4 linked regions of the Saccharomyces cerevisiae S288C genome follow. The protein of the gene in region 1 interacts with the protein of each later gene in a pairwise test. Each region holds a gene or a part of one and is shown in the gene's direction. Other genes may lie near its edges. The genes, in order: COS4, ECM3, FKS3 and SMF3.

What was found.
Region 2: the proteins of COS4 (region 1) and ECM3 interact in a protein complementation assay, tested with the Saccharomyces cerevisiae proteins (one large-scale study listed by BioGRID).
Region 3: the proteins of COS4 (region 1) and FKS3 interact in a protein complementation assay, tested with the Saccharomyces cerevisiae proteins (one large-scale study listed by BioGRID).
Region 4: the proteins of COS4 (region 1) and SMF3 interact in a protein complementation assay, tested with the Saccharomyces cerevisiae proteins (one large-scale study listed by BioGRID).

The regions. Positions count from the first base shown.
Region 1 is NC_001138.5:4,788-8,544, forward strand, and holds COS4 (Cos4p), read left to right. Parts: upstream 1-1,638; coding exon 1,639-2,778; downstream 2,779-3,757.
Region 2 is NC_001147.6:493,196-497,794, forward strand, and holds ECM3 (putative ATPase ECM3), read left to right. Parts: upstream 1-1,931; coding exon 1,932-3,773; downstream 3,774-4,599. Other genes in the region: translation machinery-associated protein TMA46, read left to right, coding at 238-1,275; CMR2 (Cmr2p), read right to left, coding at 4,311-4,599. UniProt on the Saccharomyces cerevisiae protein: May be involved in cell wall organization and biogenesis.
Region 3 is NC_001145.3:878,864-887,016, forward strand, and holds FKS3 (putative 1,3-beta-D-glucan synthase), read left to right. Parts: upstream 1-2,295; coding exon 2,296-7,653; downstream 7,654-8,153. Other genes in the region: SCW10 (putative family 17 glucosidase), read right to left, coding at 200-1,369; 1,3-beta-glucanosyltransferase GAS1, read left to right, coding at 8,140-8,153. UniProt on the Saccharomyces cerevisiae protein: Required for spore wall assembly.
Region 4 is NC_001144.5:209,460-213,617, reverse strand, and holds SMF3 (putative divalent metal ion transporter SMF3), read left to right. Parts: upstream 1-1,684; coding exon 1,685-3,106; downstream 3,107-4,158. Other genes in the region: mismatch repair protein MLH2, read left to right, coding at 1-1,249; RSC58 (Rsc58p), read right to left, coding at 3,349-4,158. UniProt on the Saccharomyces cerevisiae protein: Has a role in controlling the cellular iron ion levels. Mobilizes vacuolar stores of iron in conditions of low iron levels.

The DNA.
Region 1 (3,757 bases):
CACCACACCCACACCCACACACCACACCCACACCCTAATACTACCTCAACCCTACCCTAATCCAACCCTTCCATCCTGTCTCTCAACTTACCCTCCATTACCCTGCCTCCCCACTCGTTACCCTGCCTCCCCACCACCAACCCACAAATCCACCATAACAGTTACCCTCCAATTACCCATATCCAACCTCACTGCCACTTACCCTGCCATTACCCTACCATCCACCATGTCCTACTCACTGTACTGTTGTTCTACCCTCCATATTGAAACGTTAACAAATGATCGTAAACAATGCACACATACTTACCCTGCCAATACCCTACCATGCCCCATCTGTCATACTCACCATCACTTGTATACTGATACGGCATACGCACACGGATGCTACAATAGTATATACTATCTCAACTTACCCTACTTTCACATTCCACTCCATGGCCCATCTCTCACTTCATGAGTACAAATGCACCCACATCATTATGCACGGCACTTGCCTCAGCGGTCTATACCCTGTGCCATTTACGCATAACTCCCACTATTATCCACATTTTAATATTTATATCTTATTCCGCGGCCCCAAATATTGTATAAATGCCCTTAATACATACGTTATACCTCTTTTTCACCGTATACTAACCACTCAATTTATATACACTTATGCCAATATTACAAAAAAATCACCACTAAAATCACCTAAACATAAAAATATTCTATCCTTCAACAATAATACATAAACACACTCAATTGCGTATCAATACCACCATGAGGTCATTAACTTAAATGTTCCTTAATACCGTCATACCACTATGCTCTATTCCATATATTGTAATATAACTGTACTCTATAGTCATACAGACGCTTTTACTTCACCCTATCTTCTCATACTATTGTCATAGAATCGCACACTGACGCATGATTAAAACGAATAATTTTTACTATAAGGCCTCCCATCCGTGCTCTATCCTTTTGTTTGAAACATTTATATACAGAATCTCAAAGCAAGCGGGAGAAGTAGTAATTACCCAGAGGTCATGCATGATCTTAGCACCACCGTACCTCTAAGTTTTGCTTTGAGCCTTTTTACAGTGACATCAAACATAAGGAGAAAAAATGGTATTGAAAGGTTATCAATATAGGGAAATAAATTGGTTCTATGAATCTTCATGTAAGATACTCGTAGGACAGACTCTTTCCTGTGTAAATATTTGTGACAGCTACGTCTATTTTCTATTAGATATTTACACATTTTTGTCACAGGCAATCTACGCTTAAAATATACGTTTCATTTTGGGTAACAACTGCTGTGCGAACAGTGACATTGCTGGTCGCACCTTAAATGTAAACCAAAGTTACGGCACACCGTGATGTACCCTCATACAAAGCTTTGTAAAAGTATTATTACGATTATCGAGTAACTTAGATAGAAAACCGGAAATGAAATGGACTCCCTTTTCGAATAGTAGAGTTTCTGTGCCTAAAATAGCCCAACATTGTTGCCCTTTTTCTATCACGAGGTTACTGAGCCATTGCATGAACGCGCGCGCCTCGGCGGCTTTTTTTTCTACTCTATAAAAGCGAAAAGCCAGAAGTTACTATCTCGAATAAAAAACCCCTCGAACTGCCATCTCATTACCGAAAATGAAAGAAAATGAACTTAAAAATGAGAAAAGTGTAGATGTATTATCTTTCAAACAGCTCGAATCTCAAAAGATTGTTCTACCTCAAGATCTTTTCAGAAGCAGCTTTACCTGGTTTTGTTATGAAATTTACAAGTCCTTAGCGTTTCGCATCTGGATGCTATTATGGCTACCACTTAGCGTCTGGTGGAAGCTTTCCAACAATTGGATTTACCCGCTTATGGTTTCACTTCTTGTCCTGTTTTGGGGACCAGTATTTGTTCTTGTTATTTTTAGACTTTCTCGTAAACGTTCCTTATCGAAACAACTCACTCAGTTTTGCAAAGAGATTACTAAAAGCACACCAAGTTCGGATCCTCATGATTGGGAAGTTGTTGCAGCAAATCTAAATTCGTACTTATATGAAAATAAGGCTTGGAATATTAGGTACTTTTTCTTCAATGCCATGGGCTGCCAAGAAGCGTTCAGAACAACCCTTCTCGAACCCTTCTCTTTGAAAAAAGACGAAGCTGCCAAGGTTAAGTCATTTAAGGATTCCGTCCCTTACATTGAAGAAGCATTGGGAGTTTATTTTAGAGAAGTTGAAAAACAATGGAAGTTGTTTAATTCTGAGAAATCATGGAGCCCTGTTGGCCTGGAAGATGCTAAACTTCCCAAGGAAGCTTACCGATTTAAGCTTACTTGGTTTTTAAAGAGGATTTCCAATATTTTTATGTTGATACCATTCCTTAATTTTTTGTGCTGCATATATGTGTCACGGGGAATGTGCCTTCTATTACGCACCTTGTATCTCGGGTGGATTCTTTTCATGTTGGTACAAGGTTTCCAAAATATAAGGGTTTTGATTATGAGCATGGAACACAAGATGCAGTTCTTGTCGACTATTATAAATGAGCAAGAAAGTGGTGCGAATGGATGGGACGAAATTGCAAGGAAAATGAATAGGTACTTGTTTGAGAAAAAAGTCTGGAAGAATGAAGAGTTTTTCTTTGACGGGATTGACTGTGAATGGTTTTTTAGCCACTTCTTCTACCGCGTTCTATCTGCGAAGAAATCTATGCGGGCTCTATCATTGAATGTGGAACTATGGCCATATATTAAAGAAGCGCAATTATCCTGCAGTGAGGAGTCCTTAGCGTAAAGATAAATACAACTTTTTCAATTTATATATTTTGTAGTTTGTCAGCTGCGAATAACCAAAACGAGACTACTTTTTACGATTACAACCATTCTCTTTTTCCCTATTTCTCACTGGTTGACAGAAATCAGTGTGCTATCATCCTACCATATGCGCAAAACTTATTGTCTTTCTCCTCCTAGAGATGCTGTATTCCATGCATATTCTGAACGATGGGTTGGTGTTTTTATCAAGCAAGGTTAATCACATGGCGTGGCTTGCTCCACGCATCAGTAGAAAACGCATACCGCAGCGGAATCCTTAAATAATAAGTGATTTTACTGTTCATCAACTACAATCGGACTCTTTCACAATTACCCTTCTTGTTTTCCACATTTACTGTTAAATGAAGGGATGTACAGAAGGCTTAGGAAAACCTGTGCTGAATACTGGATGGACACTGCATTCCCACAGTGAAGCTTTTATAGATACACTGCCAGTTATTTTCGAACTTTCATCAAGTTGCTGAGTTTTAGTATCCCTTTGCCTTAGCTATATGTTTGAATGAGCAAAATATTTGCAATGTCTCTAGCTTTCTTGAAATATTGGTTTATATTGAGGGCTTGGTAAGATTTCAAATTTCATTTTGAAGTGCTCAGGAGAAAAATCATGCTCTTTTGATAATTTGGTGACTAAACATACATAAAACAGTTTAATTTTGGGTGGTAATGGCTGTGTGACTAGCTATAGAAAGAAAAAAATTAAAAAAAAAAAAAAAAATCAAGTAGTTCCTGCACTGCGACGTCCATTATAGCATTATAAATTGGTCCCTGATTTACGCATGCGATAAACTATTTTTAGCGCAGCCGCATATTATCCGAGAATAACTTCCGACATAAGAAAATTCGCAGAAAATAGATAAAAAAACTGCTCTTGGCATTCTTCACTTCCTCTATTACACACTGTGTCATACCACAATCATCTCACAGTATGTATTTGTATG
Region 2 (4,599 bases), on another chromosome or scaffold:
TATTTCTTAAGTTGGAGACTAGTGGAGGAAATGAATTGGCACGTAGCTCGTCGAACATGATGAACTGTGATGATAATGAAAAAATTTTTGTTCCCCAGCGATGAGTTAGTGAAAATCGACAATATATCTTTTTTTAATCAATGTGTTTTACTATTTCTAGAAAGCAAGGGAAGCCACTCTATTAGTAAACCTCTGGGCTTTACACATATAAAATCGCAGGAAAGTTATATTTCGAAGATGCCACCAAAAAAGGGAAAACAGGCCCAAGCGGCTGGTAAGAAGAAGGATAATGTCGACAAGACGTTCGGTATGAAGAACAAGAACCGTTCTACCAAAGTCCAAAAATACATCAAACAAGTGCAATCACAATCCGACCCCAAGAAAGAAGAGATGAGGTTAAAGAAACTCGAAGAAAAAAAGCGCAGAGAAGCCGAAGAAGCTGAACGAAGAGCACTATTCAACCCTGTAGCAGACCAAAGGGTTCGTGCGGGTGTAGATCCCAAGTCCATGGTTTGTGCTCTGTTCAAACTGGGGAATTGTAACAAAGGTGCCAAATGTAAGTTCTCACATGACTTGAACGTCGGTAGAAGAATGGAAAAGAAAGATTTATACCAAGATACAAGAAGTGAAAAGGAAAATGACACAATGGACAACTGGGATGAAGAAAAGCTGAGAAAAGTTATCCTGTCGAAGCACGGTAACCCAAAGACCACCACCGACAAAGTATGCAAATACTTCATCGAGGCCGTGGAAAACGGTAAATACGGTTGGTTTTGGATTTGTCCTAACGGAGGTGACAAATGTATGTACAGACACTCCCTACCAGAGGGCTTTGTGCTGAAAACCAACGAGCAAAAGAGGCTCGAGAGGGAGTCGCTCGAGAAACAGCCAAAAATTACGCTGGAGGAGTTTATCGAAACAGAAAGAGGGAAACTAGACAAATCCAAGCTAACACCAATAACAATTGCCAACTTCGCCCAATGGAAGAAGGACCACGTCATCGCAAAGATTAACGCTGAAAAGAAGTTATCTAGTAAGAGGAAACCTACTGGTAGAGAAATCATTCTTAAGATGAGCGCCGAAAACAAGTCATTTGAGACGGACAACGCCGACATGCCAGACGACGTCACCCAGGGATCCGCATGGGATCTTACTGAATTCACAGATGCCTTGAAGAAGGCTGACCACCAAGACGACGGCGGCATCAAGGACTACGGTGACGGTAGCAACCCCACCTTCGACATCAAAAAAGCCAACTCCGCCACGCTCGCATAGTCTAAAATTCATATAGACTAAACTGTATATATGCCACCGTATATATAATACACGCACACACACCAACACAAAGCATGTCACGTCATGTAGCTGATCACGCAGCACGACCGCGGCCCATGCTTATCTGCCGTCTTTTTGCCCCTTTCGATATCCCACGCCCCACGCCCCCACGTTGTTGAGGTGTTTTTTCACCTCGGATCCGCCCGACAATATCTGGGATTAAAAGTGCTCGAGTTTTGCTCTCTATTTCACAATCGGTGATAGTTGAGCTTCCTTTCACTGCATCTCTTTGCAGCCTCGGGGGATGAGGCTATATACTTAGAGGGCCTGAATATATGTTTGACGCATCCCTCCTTCGTACGCTACCATCTGTTACTCTTGCACCGTTATTATATGCTTGTAATTTTTGTTATATAATAGGCCTTTCATTGTTTTTAATATAGACTTTCATCATAGGGCATCCGGAATTTCTTCTCAGAAGCCTCGCAATTTTTCTTTATATTAGGTTTTTCAGACTTTACATTTGTACAGAAACTGCGTATTGTTGACCATTACCGAGAGGAAGATAAAAAGGCATAGATAGTTAAGTTTAGCATTATAGAACCAACACAAACAAAACAATAGAAGACAAAGAGTAAGTTCAAGACAAGTAGACAATGACACACATCACACTGGGACAAGCCATCTGGGCCTCTGTCAGACCAATCATCAAAATCTATCTGATTATTGGTGTAGGCTTCGGTTTATGCAAGATGAACATCTTAACCGTTCAGGCCACAAGGTCCATCTCTGATATCGTTTTAACAATTCTGCTTCCTTGTTTATCATTCAATAAAATCGTAGCAAATATAGAAGATAACGATATCAAAGATGTCGGCATTATTTGTCTGACGTCTGTTATACTGTTCGCAACTGGCTTGGGGTTTGCCTTTATTGTTCGCAGTGTGCTGCCTGTTCCTAAGAGATGGCGTGGTGGTATACTTGCAGGAGGTATGTTTCCCAATATCAGCGATCTACCCATCGCCTATTTGCAATCCATGGACCAAGGGTTTATATTTACAGAAGCAGAAGGTGAGAAAGGTGTTGCCAACGTTATCATCTTTCTGGCCATGTTTTTGATATGTGTTTTCAATTTAGGTGGTTTCAGACTAATTGAAAACGATTTCCATTACAAAGGTGATGACGATGAAGAAAATACGTTGACCAATGATGATTCTGCCCAACAGCCAACACAACCAATTGAAGGCAATTCTTCTTCTTCATCCAACCAAGATATCCTGAAAGAGCCCAACGAGTCTACCGTTCCTAACAGTTCACAAGCAAGCTACATTTCTGAGAAAAATAAAAAAGAAAAAACTGAACTCTCTGTCCCCAAGCCTACACATACTGCCCCTCCAGCAATAGATGACAGGAGCTCGAACTCATCCGCGGTGGTCTCTATCGATAGCATTACACACTCACTACGCACAAACCATGTGGATGCCCAATCTGTAAGCGAGCTTAACGATCCTACTTACAGAACTAGAAGTCAACCAATAGCATACACTACCGAGTCAAGAACATCACATGTTCATAATAACCGCAGGAATTCCATCACTGGCTCCTTACGTTCCATCGATATGCGTGAACTACCCGCGGAAGGCATGTCGGATTTAATTCGTGAATACTCCAATGTTGATCAATACGGTAGAAGAAGGAAAAGTTCTATCAGCTCCCAAGGAGCACCCTCTGTTTTGCAGGCAGACGGTACTATTTCTCCAAATTTGACTAGAACCTCCACTTTACAAAGAGTCAAAACTTCCAACCTAACAAGAATAATCACCTCAGATGCCACTGTTAGTAAGAAAGATATTGAGACTTCCGGTTCCTCTTTACCAAAATGGCTACAGAAATTTCCCTTAACAAAATTTTTCGTCTTTTTTCTAAAAAATTGTCTAAGGCCTTGTTCCATGGCTGTTATCCTGGCTTTGATTATCGCTTTTATTCCCTGGGTAAAAGCCCTTTTCGTTACGACCAGTAATACACCAAAAATCAAACAAGCCCCAGATAATGCACCTGCTCTAACTTTCATTATGGATTTTACATCTTATGTTGGAGCCGCTTCAGTTCCCTTCGGTTTGATTCTTTTAGGCGCTACTCTTGGTAGATTGAAAATTGGAAAATTATACCCTGGTTTCTGGAAATCCGCAGTGGTATTAGTCTTTCTCAGACAATGTATCATGCCGATCTTTGGTGTCTTGTGGTGTGACCGTCTAGTGAAAGCGGGATGGCTAAATTGGGAAAACGACAAGATGTTATTGTTTGTTACCGCCATTACTTGGAACTTACCAACAATGACCACCTTAATCTACTTCACTGCAAGTTATACCCCTGAGGACGAAACTGAACCCGTTCAAATGGAATGTACCTCTTTCTTTTTGATGCTTCAATATCCTTTGATGGTCGTTAGTTTACCATTTTTGGTGTCTTATTTCATCAAAGTTCAAATGAAATTATAAAGTTCGTTAAGGAAGAAACAAGATCTATTCATGCATTCCCATTCTCATTCTCATAATTTCATTTCATCGTACAACTGAATCAGGGTGTAATTTTATAGTTGTTTGTTGGTCTTTTTTTATCAACGTAGAATTCACTTATTTCAGATTTTATAGAGTTTCATAGTATAAAAATAATAATGAAAACAAAACTTCATGCTTTTTCTTCTGTTTATACAATTTCACTTTTGATTGTTATTCAAAAAAATAACATTTAGTCGCAGCTTCTCAGTGTTACTAATCTTTTTCTTCTTTTTTCGAACATAAGATTTTCTGATGGAACGAAAAAAGGTGATCTTTTAATTATTTGTGAATCATAAATATCCTTTTCATTAATTTTTAAGTGGTATAGCGTATTTACATATAAAACATACATGATTATTTCATGTTTATAATCAAAAATTATAAATAATTATTTAATCTCTAATATAGATTAATTAGAGTCTTTCCACAACTCAGTAGCATCCAATAGTCATGACAAATTTACTGTACTTGGATGTGTTAAATATTGTCCTTTTCATAATCTGATAATAAATAAATGGAAATATTTTCACCATAGTTTATGCCAAATTGTGCTTCTATTTGAATTTTCTGATCAAACCAGGCTTGCATTATCGATGCTCTATTTTTCGCCCAAACTTCCATTATCATACTAGAATTTTTTGGGCTTATACCTTTAGTTCTCACAAATGTGCATAAATCTAAAATGACACCATGCTTATTTAACAACTCTGAAACAATTAAAGTCGTTAGATTACCCAAGATGGGATTATGTCGTTCCTTACACCTA
Region 3 (8,153 bases), on another chromosome or scaffold:
GTAGCTAAAAGGAAGACAAATTGAAAAATCTTTCACAAATGAGTATAGAATATATACTTTACACAAAACACATAAGTAAACAATAACGTGATAAGAATAGGAGAGCAAATATGGGAAAGGGCTTATTTCCCCCATATTTGGCTGCTTTTTAAGAAAAAGGGAAAAAGAATGATCATAAAGTAAATGAAGTTTCAGTGGTTTAATCACTTGATAGAATACCCCAGTATTTTTCAACACCGTATTGCCCATCATCTTTCCATAGATCATTGAAGGCGGTAAATAAGTAAGCTGAAGAGCCGCAGGAGCTTTTGATAGAAGAAATGGCGGCTTCTTGGTTTGCTTTAGATGGGACAGCTTCGCCGTAAGTATCACCCTTAGATGGCCAACCAGTTTCGGTAATAACGACGTCCTTTTTCCCACCACAAGCAGTGTAAACCCTTTCGATTTGTTCTAGTACCCATGGTCCTGCATCTTGGGCCGCAGTATTTTCATCGAAGTATGCATGGGCGTTGACAGCCATATAGTCAGAATAATTACACAGGTCAGGGTTATTTATAACAGCAATGAAGGTATCAACGGAAACGACTGAGCCTGTATAACCAGCAGAGGTTAAAGCTGACTTGGCCGTGGAAACGTATTCACCGACTTGCGTCGTAGTGGCAGAACCGCCATTGACCAGTTCGTTACCGACAGAAACAGTGGTAATATCATCCCAGGAGCCATAAGACTCAACTGCAGATTTAATAGTATCAACGGCGTCTTGAATTTTGTCAACGTAATATATGCCTAAGAATAATTTCTGGCTTGAAGTTTTAGCTTGCAAGACATTCTCAACCTGACTACAGTCAACGCCATATAATCTGATGTTGTCAAAACCAGTCAACTGTTCTAAATCTGAGGCGACTTGAGCAGTAGATTTACAGGACCCATCATCATTGTAAGGACTGTAAGTAATACCCTTAGCACCGGAGGCTGAGATACTAGATGAAGCGGAGGATGAAGCTGAAGATGAAGTTGAGGATGAGGATGAGGGTGAGGATGAAGTCGAAGAACCAACCGTAGATGCTGCCTCGGAAGATTGAAGAGTGCTGGTTTGTTGTTGAGAAGTGACGACATTAGCGGAAGTTGTTGGTTCTAAAGTGGATGTAGTTGCTTGAGAAGCAACTGCAGTACTGCTGGTAGTAGCTACAACAGCATTCTCGTTCACTGGAACAATAGTTTCGCCGCTGTTACCGGAAACGACAACAGTAACCTGCGCATGGACTGTGGCAGTAACAACGTCACGCTTTTCATGTTTATGGCGAACAGCAGGAGCTCCTAGAGCTCCGGTTAATAATGCAGATACAGTTAGGAAATTTGAAAAACGCATAATGGAATGAAGACTTTTTTTGCGTTAATACTATCTTTTGACAATTTGAAAAAAAGAACAGTAATAGTAAAGGAGAGACGTGACAGTTGGATGTTCAGCTCAATATTGCAAAAGTATAGTATTTAACTCTTTTATTTGGGCCTATATAATAGATGAATTTAAAATGGGAAAAATATGATGCACGCTTCAAAGATACACTGTAAGACAAACTTCACGCAGACATCTTTCCCTCCATTATAAATACTACAGTTTTGAAACAAACGTGGAAAAGAAGGCTTATGGATACGGCTCTCGATGGAGAAGTTACTGTACACATGAAAACACGAATAACTTTCAAACGCGTGCGACGTTTGTTACCATATTCAAACGTTTCAACGCGAATTTTTTGTCCGCTGTTTCGCGCAATTAAAAGTCTTGGCATTTTTCTCTTCAGGTTTTACTTCGTCCGAAATCTTCGAGGACTTTTCCGAAAAAGGTAAATTACTGCAAACGGTCTTTCGCGAAATCTAGACCGAAGATCTCTGGGGATATGTAAGGAACAAATATTTTTGTCATTGAGGGCTTAGATAAAAAGAAAATCTAGATGTCTTGCCTGAGAAAAAGAAAGAGGGAGGCATTCTTTCTTAATTATTACCGTGCCTGGTATCAGCATAAGTGAAGGCCGAGACAGCTTTCGTATATGGCTGTTGCACGTCTCTGAACTAATCATTCTCGCCCATCAAGATCGGACCATCTTGCCTAGTGCGGCAATGATGGTTAAATTATGCGGGTAAGAGTTTTACATGGTCAGCGGCTATTTGGCGAGAACCTTCAAAAGTAATTATGCCTTCTAGGATTTGCCACTATACAACTTAATCATTAAGGGCTGTGGAACTGCATATTGGGAAAAGAAAAACATACTGAGAAGGAAAGTTAAGGAGTTGAATATGGATTTTATGAGTCCCAAGTTTTCGCTAACTGACGTTGAGTATCCTGCTTGGTGCCAAGACGATGAAGTCCCAATAACAATGCAGGAAATTAGAGAAATTTTTGTGGAGCTCATGGATAAGTTTGGCTTCCAGAAATCTTCTATGGAAAATATGTATCAACATTTAATGGGACAGCTGGACTCCAGGGCAAGTCGTACAGGTGCTCAAAATGCTTTAGTATCGCTACATGTTTCATATATTGGAGGCGAACACGCAAATTATAGAAAATGGTATTTTGCCGCTCAGCTCGATTTAGATGAAGAGATCGGGTTTCAAAACATGCGACTACATGGAAAGGCACGCCAAAGAAACGTAAAAATGGCGAAGAAAAGAGGCGTATCGATAAAGGAACAAATTAAGCAATGGAATGAGAAGGAGCAAGAGTTCATCAATAACCATCCAAAGATCACACTGACTCAAGAACAATTGGAAGATCAGACAAACTTGAAAAGTGCAGACTACAAATGGAAATTGAAAATGAAAAAATTGACGCCCGAAAATATGATAAGACAGCTGGCCCTTTATTTGCTTTGCTGGGGTGAAGCCAATCAAGTCAGATTCGCCCCAGAATGCCTTTGCTTTATTTTCAAATGTGCACTTGATTATGATATTAGTACGTCAAGTAGCGAAAAAACGGTGAAATCACCTGAGTATTCATACTTAAATGACGTTATTACTCCCTTATACGAATTCCTAAGGGGCCAAGTATACAAAAAAGACGCAAAGGGGAACTGGAAACGAAGAGAAAAAGACCACAAGAATATTATTGGTTACGACGACATCAATCAATTATTTTGGTACCCGGAAGGATTTGAACGTATTATTTTAAACAATGGAGAACGATTAGTTGACAAGCCATTGGAGGAGAGATATCTTTACTTTAAAGACGTTGCATGGTCTAAAGTATTTTATAAGACATATAGAGAAACCAGAAGTTGGAAGCATTGTTTTACCAATTTCAATAGATTCTGGATTATCCATTTTGCACCGTTTTGGTTCTTCACCACATTTAATTCCCCCACTTTGTACACCAAGAATTATATACAGTTATTGAATAACCAGCCTACACCCCAAGTTAGACTATCAGTGATTGCCTTTGGAGGCACAATTGCATGTTTAGTTCAAATTTTAGCCACCGTGTTCGAGTGGGGATTTGTACCTCGAGAATGGCCAGGCGCTCAGCATTTATCGAGTAGAATGATTGGCTTACTTTTTTGTCTTGCAATCAATTTGGGACCTTCCGTGTATGTTCTGGGGTTTTTCGAATGGGATGTTCATTCAAAATCTGCGTATATCGTGTCCATCGTCCAACTAATCATTGCATTTTTAACCACTTTTTTTTTTGCTGTCAGACCTTTGGGCGGCTTATTTCGTCCATATTTGAATAAAGACAAAAAACATCGGAGGTACATCTCATCGCAAACCTTTACCGCTTCATTTCCTAAGCTGACAGGACGCAGCAAATGGTTTTCTTATGGGTTATGGGTATTTGTGTATTTGGCGAAATATATTGAGTCCTATTTTTTTTTGACCTTGTCCCTCAGGGACCCCATCAGGGTCCTCTCTATTATGGATTTGTCCAGATGTCAAGGTGAATATTTGTTGGGTCCTATTCTATGTAAATGGCAAGCCAAAATTACATTAGTTCTCATGCTGCTTTCTGACTTGGGCCTGTTTTTTCTCGACACTTACCTTTGGTACATTATTTGCAACTGTATTTTTTCCATTGTACTGTCATTTTCTCTTGGTACTTCAATTCTCACGCCATGGAAGAATGTATACTCTCGATTGCCAAAAAGGATATATTCCAAAATCCTTGCTACTTCAGAGATGGATGTAAAATTTAAAGCAAAAATACTGATATCGCAGGTTTGGAATGCCATTGTTATATCAATGTATAGGGAACATCTTCTCTCCATTGAACATTTACAAAGACTCTTGTTTCAGCAAGTTGACTCCTTAATGGGAGACACAAGAACCCTGAAATCGCCTACATTTTTCGTTGCACAAGATGATTCAACGTTCAAGTCAATGGAATTTTTTCCATCAAATTCAGAGGCAAAAAGAAGGATATCCTTTTTTGCCCAATCCCTGGCGACCCCCATTTCAGAACCTGTTCCAGTGGATTGTATGCCAACTTTTACCGTTTTGGTACCCCATTATTCAGAAAAGATTCTGTTGGGCTTGAAGGAAATTATCAGGGAAGAATCTCCTAAAAGTAAAATCACGGTGCTTGAGTATTTGAAGCATCTACACCCTACAGAATGGGAATGTTTTGTTAAGGATACCAAACTACTAAGCATGGAAAAGAGCTTTTTGAAAGAGGCAGAGAGCAGTCATGATGAAGATAGATTGGAAATTCCGGATGCTCTGTACGATCCAAGGTCTAGCCCGCTTTCTGACCATACTGAGTCCCGGAAGTTGCCCACAGAAGACGATCTTATTAAGGAGAAAATTAATGATTTGCCATTTTCTTACTTTGGCTTCAACTCATCAGAACCATCGTACACCCTGAGAACAAGAATCTGGGCATCATTGCGGACGCAGACTTTGTACCGAACCCTTTCAGGGTTTATGAACTATTCCAAAGCTATTAAGCTACTGTATCGAATTGAAAACCCCTCTTTAGTTAGCTTGTATCGTGGCAATAATGAAGCATTGGAGAATGACTTAGAAAATATGGCTAGCAGGAAATTTAGGATGGTTGTTGCTATGCAGAGATATGCAAAATTTAATAAGGATGAAGTGGAGGCAACAGAACTACTTTTAAGAGCCTATCCAAATATGTTTATATCTTACCTTTTGGAAGAATTAGAGCAAAATGAATCTGAGAAAACGTACTATTCGTGCCTGACTAATGGCTATGCTGAGTTTGACGAAGAAAGTGGATTAAGGAAGCCAATATTCAAAATTCGCCTGTCGGGCAATCCAATACTTGGCGATGGAAAATCGGATAATCAGAACCATTCTATTATATTTTATCGTGGTGAGTATATTCAGGTGATTGATGCAAACCAAGATAATTATTTGGAGGAATGCCTAAAGATACGGTCTGTTTTAAGTGAGTTCGAAGAGCTTGAGCTTAATCCCACAATCCCATACATTCCTGGCATTGAATATGAAGAAGAACCACCGCCCATCGCTATTGTTGGTTCAAGAGAGTATATTTTTTCAGAAAATATTGGAGTGTTAGGTGATATTGCTGCAGGTAAAGAACAGACTTTTGGAACCTTATTTGCTAGAACGTTGGCTGAAATTGGTGGTAAATTGCACTATGGGCATCCCGATTTTCTCAATGGCATTTTTATGACCACTCGTGGTGGCCTGTCTAAGGCACAAAGAGGATTGCATTTAAACGAGGATATATATGCTGGAATGAACGCAATCTGCCGTGGTGGAAAGATAAAACATAGTGATTACTACCAATGTGGTAAGGGTAGAGATTTGGGATTTGGGTCCATCCTGAATTTCACTACTAAAATAGGTGCAGGTATGGGGGAACAGCTACTATCAAGGGAGTACTATTATTTGGGGACACAACTTCCCATGGATAGATTTTTATCGTTTTTTTATGCACATCCTGGTTTCCATCTGAATAATCTTTTTATTTCCTTTTCGGTTCAACTGTTCTTCGTTCTGCTTTTAAACTTGGGTGCGTTGAACCATGAAATTATAGCCTGCTTTTACGACAAGGATGCACCAATTACAAATCTTGAGACACCCGTTGGTTGTTATAATATTCAGCCTGCATTGCATTGGGTATCGATATTCGTACTATCAATCTTCATTGTTTTCTTTATTGCCTTTGCCCCTTTGCTGATTCAAGAAGTTTTGGAAAAGGGTATTTGGAGAGCAGCTTCAAGGTTCCTACATCATCTTCTTTCAATGGCCCCATTATTTGAAGTATTCGTCTGCCAAGTTTATTCGAATTCTCTATTGATGGACTTGACCTTTGGGGGAGCAAAGTACATATCTACAGGTCGTGGGTTTGCAATAACACGCCTCGATTTTTTTACGCTCTATTCCAGATTTGTTAATATATCGATATATTCTGGTTTCCAAGTGTTCTTCATGTTATTATTCGCGATTATTTCCATGTGGCAACCCGCCTTATTATGGTTTTGGATTACAGTCATTTCGATGTGCTTCGCACCTTTTATTTTCAATCCACATCAGTTCGCATTCATGGATTTCTTCATTGATTATAAAACCTTTATCCACTGGTTATTCTCAGGTAACACGAAATATCAAAAAGAATCGTGGGCAAACTTTGTCAAGAGTTCTCGATCAAGATTTACGGGCTATAAAAGTAAAACTGTAGATGATATTTCCGAAGATTCAGGCCATGATTCAAAGAAAGCGAGGTTTTGGAACGTCTTCTTTGCAGAACTATTTCTACCTTTCTGTGTGTTCCTCTTCAACTTCACCGCTTTTTCTTTCATTAATGCACAAACAGGGGTCTCTGACTCAACACCAACTAGCGCTGTTTTCCGTTTGTTGCTCGTAACTTTTTTGCCAATCTTTCTTAACTCAATAGTGCTTTTTCTATTATTTTGGGTTTCACTTTTTGTGGTTCCTGGATTGTCATATTGTTGTAAAGACGCAGGTGCCGTGATTGCGTTTATTGCACACACTTTCTCGGTTTTGGTCTATCTTTTAGATTTCGAACTGATGTGGTTCTTACAAGGTTGGAACTTTACCCGTACATTGATACTGCTTATTACGTGCATCAATATGCATCTGATTCTTTTCAAGGTCTTTACGACGATATTCTTGACAAGGGAGTATAAAAACAATAAGGCACATTTGGCATGGTGGAATGGTAAATGGTACAATACGGGCATGGGCTGGTCTATCATTTTACAGCCCATACGAGAATACTTCGTGAAGATTATGGAATCTAGTTATTTTGCAGCAGATTTCTTTCTTGGTCACTTCCTCTTATTTATACAAACGCCCATAATATTGTTACCATTTATCGATTACTGGCATACAATGGTGCTATTTTGGATGAATCCAAGAAGTATTATCGCGCATAAAAGAATTTTGACTCGAAAGCAGAGAGCATTAAGAAGTAGGATAGTTTCAAAATATTTCTCTCTATATTTTGTGATGCTAGGTGTGCTCCTTTTTATGCTCATCGCGCCATTCTTTGCTGGTGATTTCGTATCTAGTCCGCAAGAATTGCTGGAAGGCACCCTTTTCGAAGGAATCTTCCAACCTAACAACCAAAACAACAACGATACTGGTCCAAATGCTCCATCGACAATCCTGACTACAACACCAACTTTACCTACCTTTAGGACTGTCGCATAGGGATAAAAAAAAAAAGTTATTTTGAGTAGCTGATAAAGCGAGCTGGTGCCTATCATAGCCGGCTCAGACTTTTTATGAATTCACAGGCCAGCCCTGGCTATTCTTTTGCGTACTTTTAGTTCGATATATTTTCGCGGCTCGCGTTTTGTTTGCTTCTTATTTTACACTGAGTTTTCGTGCCGCAAACGTGGAGATGGGAAAAAGAAAAGTCGGGAAAATAATGAGAAATTTCTACTTTTGGTATTCCTCATACAGCCTGCGCGGTTTATTAGTAAAATACCCGATAATCCTCGAGGTTTGAAAAACTTTTCCCTCTACTACTGTTGACACGGATTTTTTTATTTAAGAGGAAAAGTCGTGGTTGTTTTCCTCGAACAAATTAGATATCCATAAATAGTTGTGTCGTTTTATTAAGCTATTTCAAAATCAGTTTTTATTTTTAAAGTCTGATAAAACAAAAACAACAAACACAGCTAAATCTCAACAATGTTGTTTAAATC
Region 4 (4,158 bases), on another chromosome or scaffold:
TGTTAATGAGAGAGCGCTATCTTTGAACTTGGAGACGGGGAAGACTATTTCTAAGTTACTATCGTCAATCTATAGAGATTTCTCTTTACTAGATCCTATGGTTTGGTTTATTAATTTAAATTGCGATACAAAGCTTCTTGACGTAAATATCGAACCAGAGAAAAATGACGTGATGATCAAAAGTTTTGAAGTGATATTTAAGAAGATAGAGAATAAGTTAAAGTTGTTATTGGAGGAGAGAATTGGCATCGAAACAAATATGCTGGGAGATAAACATGTTCAGCCTTCTATCAACGAAAAAACTTCTCCCGCACTGGTGATACCTACACCCGACGCAGAGAATGAAATATCAAAGGGCTGTGGTGCTGTTAGTGGTAAAGACAAGACTGACATCCCACAAAAAAACTCAGATTTGATAGTACCAACTTTTTACGATGAAGCAAACTTAGAGAATACGACCATTGTCGCTGCTACTCCTTCACCTACAAAATTTAGCGAGGATAAAGCTCTTGACGAACAAACTCAGCTGACCATTTCAAGTTATAGAAGCTCGAGTTCCGGGTCTATGGCTTCCGAGGACAGTACTAATTGGCGACATAATTTCCAACAAGAACTAAGCGAAAATAGTGAAGTAGCAGGAGCTGGATCCTCAACATTACCCTCGTCATTAACTTATAACTATATAGAAACTATTCCAGAGAACGAGGATTTAGAACTTTCTAAGGACGCTTCTATTTCTAATCCTTTTATGATCACAAAAATAAGAAACGTCAACAAGAAACTGAGCGAAAACTTACTTGAGGCCAAACGTACTAGCTGTGGAGATGCCAATAAAAGGGGAATGCCCAACGAAAGACAGCTTTCAAATACAGAAAAAAAGGAACTAATAAAGCTTCAGCAAACCTACGGTAAAAGAAACAATACCGTGGACATGACCATTCCACGAAATTCGAAAAAAAAAGTAACTGATAATTATATAAAGAAAGCATCCTGCATGCACAAAACAAGGCCGAAACTCATGCATTTTTCCGAGTATACCAACAACTACGTCTATACCCTGAAGAATGAAAAAATTGTTAAGCATGACAGCGATAACTTTGCCAAAGAAACTCTGTGGTTACGATCGAGGGACGATGCCACAAGCCCTTCTTCCAGTCTTTTGCAAGCCTTGCGAGCGCATGTGAAGAAACCGGGACACATTGAAGCCACGACAAATGAATGGTGCCTCTTCACGCCAGACAGCCCCTGATGATCGGGTGCACTATCACCACTCAGCACAATAGATTACTTCATAATAGACCATTGTTTGTAACTCATGGTAACCGCACCCTGTTGCCCGCCCTGCCTCTCTTCCAGTTTCCGCACCTTGAAATTTCCGTTTTGGGTCAACTTAAAAATGCTCTAATATTGCATTGTTACGACATCCTGTTGTCATGCGACTAAAGGTATTTATACTGTATATATCTCATTCATCTGATTCTGTGAGGTTGCATAATTGAATATTTATTTCAAAGGAGCTAGAAGACAAAGATCACTCCACATAAATATACGGGGTTCCTTTATATATTAGTTCATTTTTTTTTTCAGTTGTCATACCCAAACTATTATTTCCTTCTGAACTCCTTTAAATATATCGTTCTTCCAAGCTAATTGATAACAGTAGTAGCATCACAAGAGAAAAAAAATGCGATCTTATATGCAGATTCTTCAAAAATTTGCCAAATTTATTGGGCCAGGGATATTAGTCAGTGTGGCTTATATGGACCCAGGAAATTATGCCACTAGTGTTTCCGGTGGTGCTCAATACAAATATACCTTATTATTCTCTATTTTTATATCCAACATTTTTGCCGTACTTTTGCAATGTCTCTGTGTGAAGCTGGGTACTATCACTGGCTATGATTTGGCTGAAAACTGTCGTCATAATTTGCCTAAAAAGCTAAACTATACCCTTTACCTTTTCGCTGAAGTGGCAATCATTGCTACTGATCTGGCCGAGGTTGTAGGCACTGCCATCGCTTTACAAATTCTTTTCAAAATACCACTAACTTGGGGTGTCTTATTAACGGTGCTAGATGTTTTGGTAATTTTAATGTTCTACACACCAAACGGCCAGTCCTTAAAAAAAGTTAGGGTTTTCGAATTTGGCGTTGGGATTTTGGTCATTGGAACTTGCATTTGCTTTGTTTTGGAGCTGTTTAAAGTTTCAATCCCAGACAAAGCTGAATTGTTTAAAGGGTTTTTGCCTTCAAATATCATTTTTAAGGAACAACAAGCTCTTTACATTTCATTGGGTATCTTAGGTGCCACTGTGATGCCTCATTCATTATACTTGGGCTCATCCATTGTTAAACCAAGATTGCACGATTACGATTTGAAGAAATACGGTAAGGTTAATGCCCGCCCAAGTTTAAGCGCTATAAAATATACGTTAAACTATGCGTACGCTGAACTAATCATTTCTTTGTTCTTAATTGCCACCTTTGTTAATTCCGCTATTTTAATTGTTGCAGGTGCTACTTTATCAGGCCAACCTGAGGCAGAGGATGCTGATTTGTTATCTATTTACAAATTACTGGTCCACTACATATCTCCTGCGGCAGGGTTAATCTTTGCATTGGCCATGTTATGTTCTGGTCAATCTGCCGGTATCATCTGTACACTTGCCGGGCAAATCGTTTCTGAGGGATTTTTACAGTGGTCTTTACCACCTTGGGCCACAAGATTGTGCACCAGATTGATTGCCATTGTACCATGTTTATTTGTTACTTTAACCATGGGGGAAAAGGGAATTTCAGATATTTTGAATTTTTCTCAAGTGGTCTTGTCCTTAATTTTACCAATCGTATCCGCTCCTTTAATTTATTTTACCGCAAATAGAAAGTTGATGGTTGTTCATGACGAAAATGGTGTGGTAAGAGCACCTGCCGATGTTAACGCCATTGCTGATGAAACCACTCCATTGAACTCCAAGCACAGTAAAATAGTTGATTTTACTAACAGTCGTTTGTTGACCTATACCTCTGTTTTCGTATGGGCTTTAATCGGGAGCTTGAATTGCTATTTGGTGATTTCCTATCTCTTAGGTGCCGACATCCATTTTTAATGGAACCTATTTATTGTCAAGTGTGTCGTTTTCTCTCGATTCTTGTTTTCTCTCATTTCTTTATTCTGCATAATACAACCCAAGTATATACTTACGTATGCATAGCCTTCAGAACAAATGCATACTTTATCTAATATCAAAATATAAACATACATTAGTCAAAAAAGACTTGATGAGCTTTCATGAAACTAAAACAAAGATAATTCATTATTTATCTTTGATTCCACTACCGCTGACACTATTTATTTCTTGTGTTTCCGTTTACGACCTGGTTGCGCCCTTACCACAGGTATGCTACCATTATAGTTTGTTTGTAATACTGGAAAGGCCCTTACATTGTTTATAGGAACCTTGGAAACCTTCTTTGCTAAGATAACCTCCTTTAGTATTCTTTTCACTTTGAAGTATAATTCTCGTTCCTCCGTAGTAGGCTTCAAAACTTTATTTAAAATCCTCTCCTTTCTAAGTCTTTTAAGTTTTAAGAGAGAGTCTGAAACCAACTTATCTGGTGTGCCATTTCGAAAGTTCTCAATTTCGTCATCTCCAATGTAATTAGATGGTGTCCAATTATATAAGTTTTGAAGCTTGATTATGAATTGTTCCTTATTCTCAGTACTCTCTGAATTTGCAGAAGCGATAGTCGCATCATTATCATTATCACCACCATCGTCCTGAACGCCATTGCTTTTGCCGTCAACATTTTTGTTGTTTTCATCGTTCTGCTTCCTGTTTATGCCTTCTTCATTCGTGTTCAGTAATTCTTCTTGTTTTACTTTCTTTTCATTTTTTTCATACAAGTCCATATAACCAATTCTTTCAAGCCAAATAAGACCCCTTGTTGTCGAATCCACAACGGTGCCGTTTTCATTAAAGGAAGGTGCCCAAGAATTATAATTACCATATTTTAGCCAGACGGTTGTAGGTAAAGCATACCAATTTGGATGCAAAAATCTAGTCATCATTTCAGTTGGTGGTAACGTAGGGTCCGGAATATTACTAGTATTAGCGCCTACAAATCCTAATCTTGGAGCTTCGTTTTCTATATCAGTTTG